Nothobranchius furzeri: one gene and its partner. The protein of the gene in region 1 interacts with the protein of each later gene in a pairwise test. Links are inferred from orthologs where the notes say so. Each region holds a gene or a part of one and is shown on either strand. Other genes may lie near its edges.

What was found.
Region 2: the proteins of eif3g (region 1) and mif4gdb interact in binary tests that used the Homo sapiens proteins (3 or more experiments, as listed by UniProt). The link is inferred for Nothobranchius furzeri from reciprocal best matches to the Homo sapiens genes EIF3G and MIF4GD.

Annotation. Positions count from the first base shown.
Region 1 is NC_091745.1:3,309,836-3,314,139, reverse strand, and holds eif3g (eukaryotic translation initiation factor 3 subunit G), read right to left. Parts: upstream 3,008-4,304; 5' UTR 2,927-3,007; coding exon 2,904-2,926; intron 2,815-2,903; coding exon 2,768-2,814; intron 1,849-2,767; coding exon 1,760-1,848; intron 1,671-1,759; coding exon 1,611-1,670; intron 1,536-1,610; coding exon 1,431-1,535; intron 1,144-1,430; coding exon 948-1,143; intron 864-947; coding exon 753-863; intron 644-752; coding exon 507-643; intron 357-506; coding exon 250-356; intron 175-249; coding exon 159-174; 3' UTR 78-158; downstream 1-77. UniProt on the Homo sapiens protein: RNA-binding component of the eukaryotic translation initiation factor 3 (eIF-3) complex, which is required for several steps in the initiation of protein synthesis.
Region 2 is NC_091752.1:54,310,258-54,314,528, forward strand, and holds the start of mif4gdb (MIF4G domain-containing protein B), read right to left. Parts: upstream 2,999-4,271; 5' UTR 2,899-2,998; intron 2,809-2,898; exon of another isoform or gene 2,718-2,808; intron 2,710-2,717; exon of another isoform or gene 2,673-2,709; intron 2,189-2,672; 5' UTR 2,148-2,188; coding exon 2,069-2,147; intron 1,946-2,068; coding exon 1,836-1,945; intron 1,748-1,835; coding exon 1,592-1,747; intron 1-1,591. Other genes in the region: slc25a19 (mitochondrial thiamine pyrophosphate carrier), read left to right, coding at 3,500-3,631, 3,835-3,990, 4,087-4,257. UniProt on the Homo sapiens protein: Functions in replication-dependent translation of histone mRNAs which differ from other eukaryotic mRNAs in that they do not end with a poly-A tail but a stem-loop. May participate in circularizing those mRNAs specifically enhancing their translation.

The DNA of each region.
Region 1 (4,304 bases):
CTACAGCAGATGGTAAAACATGACTTCAAAGAACCATCTCTAGGCTCCAGACCTTAGCACAGAGTCAAACAGAGAAGCAGCGACAAATTATCTTTATTTAGGTAACGGCCACATTTCATTAATTCTGGCATCTTTCTGTTAAGATTCTGATGAAGTCCTCAGTTGTTTGATGGTCTGTAACAGAAGTAAATTATGTTAGTGAATATGAAACACTGATCATTTTACTGACAACAGTGATAATTTACTTACTTGGCCCATTCAACATTGAGAATAAGATGATCATATCCAAATCCTGACACTCCTGCTATGGCTCTGGCAGCATCCTCCCTACGGTGGAAACTGATGAAGGCAAATCCCTGCAGAGCAATAAAAAAAAATCTGACTGATGATTCTTGATTTTTTCAGCGTCAATCTCAAATCCTAGATGGTAGATAACAGCAGGTTGCAGAAAAACTGTGAAAGGCCAGCACTTGTAAAGCCCAGTCACCCCTAAGGTGAGCACTAACCTTGGACTGTCCCGTGTTCTTGTCCTTTGCCAGATAGATCCTTGAGATGGAACCAAACGGTCTGAAAAGCTCCTGCAAGTCTGTCTCACGAGTGTCCTCAGACAGGTTGGTCACACGGATGGTAGCGTTGTCATCAGCTGTTAAACGCAATGATTCGTTTTACTGAGACGTTTATTCAACGCTGCATGACCAGATTAAAAATGACCACATATTGCTAATGTAGCACCCATACCAACACAAACTGACCTCTGCGGTTAGGCTGCATAGACTCCCCTCTTCTTGTGCCTCCATCTCTCAGGCTCGGCGGGACATACTTTCCAGTTTTGCTTTGTGCAGGCTGAACAGGCTCTGGCTCAGCTAGGAAAAGCCACAATTACTGTCACACCTTTAGAAACTAGCAGCAGCAGACAAGTGTGGTAATGAGAATGGTGATAATGGTACCAGAACCAGCAGTCTTTTCCTTGTCTCCAGTGGAAAGCCCAAGCTGCTCAGCCAGCTCCTTCTGCATGGGGCCCAGCGTGTCCTTATACGGGCAGCGGGTCGTCCAATGGTCCCCTTTACAAATACGACAAGACACAATCTTCTGCCCTTTGAGCTTGTTCATTGGATCCTCATCTTGGTCTTGGGCATTCAGGTCCTGCAAAAAAAGCAAGATTAGCAACTTTGATAAAACAACTTGATTACAGTAAAAATTACAAATTTGCAGCCATGAACTTCATAAATTCTGAGTCACATTACAGAATGAGAAGATCTAGAGCTGTTGAATGTGGTAATTGTGAACACCAAGCAAGCTGTAAAAAGTAGTGCAAGCAGCATTTTAAACCTGCTGCGAACTATCGATGCTCCATTAGAACATTTCCTAAAGAATGTTCTTGTTCGTTTTTGCGTTCTGAAGGAAAACAGCAACTTGGACATATCCTGTACCTCCTTGCTGGAGATGAAAGTCATGAAGACGTCATCGCTGACAGTGGTGGTTGCAACATTAGGACCCGGTGGGTCAAACTCAGAGTTGCCGAACTTCTTCCAGTTCTGAAATGAGAGTGGTAAATATCAGAAGGCGGTTCATTTATTAACTGCACTGATATGATTTAATAAAACACGGACCTTTCTTCTGGCAACAGCTTTTGAGGCTTTCCTCGTCTCGATCTTGAAGGTCCGCACAATCTAGAGAACCAAAATGTTTCACTTATAATATTTCAGGAGACATTTATTATTTGCCTTTTAAATTTATTGATGCAACATAAACAAAGTACCTTGAACTTTTTACCATCATCATCTATCTTATACTCAGTGATTGTTTTGATGTTTCCTTTGATGGTCTCCTTTGGTGATGGTAATGTGCCTATGGGATCAGAATCATTAGGGTTTTAGTGACATATGTGCGAGAAATCAGATTAGGAAATTGCTGCGGCACTTTGTGCAAAAAAGAACGATTAAAGTAAGAAAACAGCAAATATGGGAAGTAAGAATATAATCAAGATAAAGGTATACAACATTCGCAGATGCACGAAAAACAACCATAAGCTTAACATCCGGGGATACTTTAATAACTTTCAACTAAATGTGAGTTTATCTGGGACTGATCTGAACTGTCAGGATCAGGATGCTCCTGATGTGACGTCACATCTTCGTTTTCACATCAACTGGAACAGTTGACGACTTTAAATGTTTTATGAATATTTAATCAGTCTAGTTTCCGTCAGCATCATTATCTTGACTGTTTTTACACCCCTACGTCACTGTCAGGGGACCACTGCCTCATTATCATAACGCAATTTCTTAAGCCGTTCGTCTCTCAGTCACGCCAACCCATGACTGATTTAAGGGCAGATTCTTATAAAATTTAACAAACTTGCATATTTTAGCTCGTCTTTAATGCTGTTCAACCACGTGGAACTGCAACACCGGCCTCCTTTGTGTAACCGGGTCAGGGGAGCACTGAGTGTTTTTCTTTATATTATTGTCTCTTGTCTCGGGTCCCTACAGCGGCTTTGTGCTTTTAAATAGAAATAGATGGCGTTGCGTGTGTAGTCCCAGGGCCAGCATTGTCGTCGCTCCTCCCTCCCGTGTTTTAGAGTTTTTAGTCTACTTTTTATCCCGACCTGGGTTGTATCTATAAATAAAAATTGTTAAACTTGTGAATAAGCCTCTGCTGTTTTCATCAAGGGTTATTATCACCTACGGTTTTAGGATCTTAAGCATCCAACCCTCTAGGTCACATTTGCCACCGAGCTAGCTAGCGAAGCTAAAATGCTGTTTACCTTCATCTACTTCCTCCTCCACCTGGTCAGCCCAGCTGGGCTTTGAGCTAGAATAGAATCACACAAACTCGTTATTACAACGGTTACACGCATTCAATAAAGACACAAAAACCCTACGTTTCATTTAGACTCTTACTCGTCGTATTCAATCGACGGCATCCTCTCGGCTAGCCTAGCTTCGGAAGAACCAGCGCGAACCGAGCACCGCACTTCCGGAGGTTAAAACTTCGCAATAAAGGCACAACTCGTCAGACTTTTTCAAAATAAGAGCTTATTTTTGGTGCTGACAAAAATTGTTGACAAAATCGTAAAATTGCATAATAAAAATTCGTTGTTATTGTTATGAAAATAACTTCTCATGTGGATTCTTAATGTGAATTCTGTGGTAACTTAATTCGTATTTGTGCTTAAAAATATTAGGAGCATCAGATTTACACATTTGTTGTCAAATTTCTCAAAAGTCAAAAGAAGTATGATGAGTTTACAAATCACCCCAGTGGCAATATTAGATCGTTTTTATTTCATTACAAGCAAAGAAAAAATGCACATATTATAGAAAACATTAACTTCTTCCTCCTCCCTGCTGTCTCTCTTTTTTCACTTGGAACATTGTACTTGATGAGTGTGTTGTGAATTAGTGATGAAGGAAATTGCAGAATGAGAAAAAAATAACAAATGAAATGAAACTTCAATCTGGTTTTCAGTGGAGCAATAAAAGTACTGGAACTTTTACAAAAGTGCTCAATCACTATTCCAGCATAGATTTTGGGTCATAGCAATTATAGTTATGAAATAATAATAACAACAACAACAACAACAACAATAATAATAATAAATACAAGATGTTTGTTTTTCCTGATAGGTCATATCAACATAAGAAAACCGTCATTACATCAGGATTTGTTCCAACGCTGCAGGAAAGAAAAACTGTCAGCAGTAGCAGGTGCAGACAAAACGTGTGCAGAATTAATTTCATATAAAACTAGAGGTTCTTATGTTGTCTTTAAAAAATAGCAATAATATGTGAATGACTGTGTTGTGAAGCACCTTGGGGGGGTTGTAGAACCCTAAGAAGGCGCTATACAAATAAAGACGATTTATAATGATAATAATAATAATACATTTTATTTCAAAGCGCCTTTCAGGACACCCAAGGTCACTTTACACAAAACACGTAATAAAATACAATAAAACAATAATAAAACCCAAAGAAGAAACAACAGAGAGAAACATTTCAATAAAATCAGAGGTTTTAGGCAGATTTAAACATGTGTGTTTTGAGTTTTGTTTTGAAAAGGGTAAAACTGTCGACGTTCCTGATGTCTGGGGGAAGTGAGTTCCAGAGTCGAGGAGCAGAGCGGCTGAAAGCTCTGCTCCCCGTGGTAGCGAGACGGGCAGAAGGAACCGCAAGATGGATGGAAGAAGAAGATCTGAGTGAACGGGACGGGGTGTGAATACTTATAAGGTCTGAGATATATGGAGGAGAGAGGTTGTGGATTGCTTTGAAGGTATGAAGGAGAATTTTGAAGATGGACCT
Region 2 (4,271 bases), on another chromosome or scaffold:
CTGGGATTAGCGCTAAAATCTTCATGCTCCGGCTCCACTGGGGGAAGCTGTGCCTCAGTCTTGCTACGGCTAGTTAGCTTCGGCTGCTCACCTAACTTCTTCTCTGCTGCGGCAATATGACACTCCTGCTAAGCTGTCGCTCGTGCAGTTTCAGTTTTACCTTGTAGTTGGTGGTGATTGGAAGAATTTCCTTATATCCATCGTTTGTGTCGTTAAATTCGTTTACCGTGATATTCGTTTACCGTGATATCCGTTTCCTAGCGTAAACAGACGTCGGTGCGTTACTTGCGGCACCACGCACGCATGCATCACATGACACAAGCCGAGACGTCTCTTAAAATATTTATTTTGTATTTTGAATTTTATTGGTTTCCCTTAGCTGAATATGAATTCATACAATCTGTGACTCCTCCCCAAAAAAAATTAACTGAAAAAAATAATTAAATTATAATAACATTACCGCTCTGATAGCCAATGGGGGGGCATGGAGGTACGGGTGGGGGGGGGGGGGGGCAATGCCCCTCAAATTGACCCCCTGACGCCGGGGCTGCTTCCCCATTTTGCTTCCACCATCTTCTCCTTGAATTGGCGAAATACGTCACATACACGGTGGCCAAAGTCACGTGGAACGGAAATGCACGAAAACGGCTGGCAGAGACCTAAAAATTGGTTTATTTTATTACCTTGTCACGTTTATTTTTAATATACAGACTTATTTTAAATACACATCAATACTCACCGAATTTAAGACTTCACTTAATGAATTTAAGACTTTTTAAGGGTCTTAATTTGCCTAAATTAAATTCAAGACTTTTCAAGACTTTCCAAGACCCGCGGATACCCTGAACAAGAACATCAGATTCCCTTTCATCCCTGGCAACAAGTGAAGAGGTAAATGTGTAAAACAACAAAGTTTATTAATGCTGAAAGTTTAGTAACCATTTGTTACAAATCAGTAAATACACTCTGTCCTCACGGGCTTCCGTAGAAGGAAACATGGCATCCAATATGGCGTCGCCTAGAGATTTAGACCCACTCCCGTGTATTTTAGACCTGATTTTTATGGTTAAATGCTATGAAACTGTCAATATTTTTCAACAACTTGGTATCTTTTAATTAATTTACAACATTTCAATGGGTATTTCCAGAGATTAATGGTAAAAATTACACATTGTCACTTTAATGTCTGTCATTGAGATCCACCTTGATGTCAGACAAATATTGCCATCATGTGGTTTAAGTCTGACACAGGTCAAAATCTGTACTAAATGCTCTGGTTTGATTGACCTATGTGCGCAGTAATGTGTTATAGCCAGTTATGAATCTGGAAGTGAAACTGAAACAATACAGTGTCTTATTAGGCCTTCTGCTGGCTGGGAGTTTCGTTCAAAGTTCTAACTTACAGCAAGAAATCCAGGTCTCAAATTAATACAACCTTCTTCTTGGTTACTACAGCAATAAACAATATATTAAAGGCTTTACTTACGAAGAAAAGTACTTTTGCAGAAATGATCCAGAGTAATTTAACAATTCATATATTTAAAATATCTTCATATCATGGACAAAACTTCAATTTGTCTCTGTCTCTTACCTTGAGGTAGTCAAAGATGTTACAGATGAAGGTGACGTAGCACACCCACTCCTGCAGAGAGCGTGTTCTTGTTTCTTCACGTACTTTAAACTCTTGCTGTAGTCGGTTCAACAGGAGCCTCCTAAACACATTTCCGCTGCTTTGTTTGGCCTCAGCCTGGGCAAACAGGGAGAATCAGGACTAAACAGGAGGGTGGTGAGCAGGCAGAGGACTCAGAACAAAAGCACCACAACCACTGACTGACCTGCACAATAGTGTAACAAATACGTCCGGCCTCTTTGCTGAACACACAATCCTTTAGAGACTGCTCTACGATGACATTTGAGACCTTCTCCAGGTTCACCGAACTTGGATCTGAGGGCAAGAAAATGGCTTTTGTAATATATACGTTCATTTTTAACAACATTTAAATGAAGGAACTGAAAACGAATTATACAGTTTGAATAATTTACACAAAAGTTTAAAGAAAATTCTGACCTTTCAAGGCAGTTTTCAGTAATGTCTGCGTTTCCAAGTCAAAAGACTGGATTTTGTAGTCATCGGTGGAGTTTTCCATGTCAGATGGTGAAGAACAAGTTACACCTGGGAGATGTCACGCTGTGAAGGAAAGATCATCCATGTTCACTGTGCTTTTCAGAAGAACAACATGTAGCAAGTCTTTTATCAGACACGACGAGTCTTTTAAACAGAACTGAAACCGCGGAGTCATCAGACTGGCTGCTCCCTACAGCTCTTTGACTGCGGGATTGAGGGGATTTGGGCTAGCTCAGGTCAACAAACACCACCTATCACTCAAAAGTGTGCTTTCATTATGCCATGATAAAATTAAACTTGCTAGCCACATACAAGTCACGCATTCGGACCGAAACAATGCAATGCTATGCATGGGCGCTGTTTATTACTGGGTTTATAACGAAAAACAGGCGGATGCCAAATCAAAACAACATTTAACTTATTAACACTGTGCTAGCTCGTGTGGTTCGCGAGCTGCTTCCGTTAGGGAATACCTCCCGCCAAAACAATAAAAGCGATTAAATGTAAAAAAAATAAATAAATAAAATCAAACAGGTAGAAAACACACATCAGTTAATAAGCATGGAATGCAAGAATATGTGAGAAACTTTACCTATTCAAAATCATACCACTAGTCAAGCTACTTCCGTCTGAACCATTCAAAGAATAAATGTAAACACAAAGATAAGTTAACCTGCATTTCCTGTTACCACATAAAACACAACCGGGACTAATGAAACTATCCTAACAGATTTTCACGGTATCACCAATATTTGAGTGGTTTAAAATATCACCTGTAAATTCTGTAAAAAGAATAGTGTGTACGAATGAGGGTTAGAGATAGGTAATGGTGACAGGGCGGTGGTAGACCGGTTGTAGGTTTGTTGCATAGACTGTACATACTGGACAATTCGATTCCGGTTTGTTGTAAGGCAGTGACTCATCTTTCCCAATATTTAATCTTTGACAGACGGAGCATGCGCTGAGTGAACCGGCGGAAGTGGTTAGTACGTTGCGTTCAGGGTTACGCTGAGATCTGAAGCTGATGGATTTATCGTAGAGAAATTTGTTGAAGACAGAAATAGAAATGGAAGTTATATTCATGAAGACAGCTCTTTAGTAAAAGGTAAACATCTGTCAGCGTGTTGTTGTCGCTACAACAACGAAGGAACAGATGTTGTGTTGTTAGCTTAGCTTAGCACAATTCTTCTCCCTACTTGTCCGCAGACATGGTGCAAACTTTGATTAAAGCGTTGTGTTAAATGAATACATTGAGAGATATTGTTTGCAGATAACTGTGACATTTTAAAAACCACAGGATATTTAAAAAATAAAATTAGTCAAAAATGGAACTTTTGTTTGTGTCTTCAGTGTTGATAGGAGTGTTGTGGTGAGATGGTGGGTTATGATCCCAGGGCGCAGAATGCAGCTCCTACCCATTGGGAGGCAGCTATCGCTGGTTCAGCTGCTGGGCTGGCCACCAGAGCCATTATCAGTCCTTTTGATGTCATCAAAATAAGATTCCAGGTATTAATCTGTGTGAATTTTTTGTGTTGGATGAGCTGGATCCAACTATTAACAGATTATGCTCACTTTGAAAATTAGACTTATAATAAGAATGGTTAAGGTATGTAAGTCCAACAAAACGATGCATAAGGAATCATTTAATAACAGTGTGGATGGAAATCTACAAAGTTAGTTGCATAAGTCGAGTGTGTTTCCTCCCACAGCTGCAGATCGAGCGTGTGTCGTCACGTAGACCTGAGGGAAAGTACTGTGGAATCCTTCAGGCCTCACGCAGCGTTTACACAGAAGAAGGGCTTTCTGCTTTCTGGAAAGGCCACGTTCCAGCCCAGCTCCTCTCCATCTGCTACGGTGCTGTCCAGGTACAGCTTGTGGAATGAAAATCTGCATGTTGAGACAGTCAAATAAGCCCTCCTAATGGCTCATCCCTGAAATAACTGTTTTTTTGTGATTTGCAGTTTGTTAGTTTTGAGTTTCTGACTGAAGTTGTTCACAAATCGACAATCTACGACAGCCAGACACCAGGAGTTCACTTTGTCTGTGGCGGTTTGGCAGCCTGCTCGGCCGCGGTGGCCTGCCAGCCTCTGGACACGCTGAGGACACGCTTCGCTGCTCAGGGAGAACCCAAGGTGGGACAGCCATA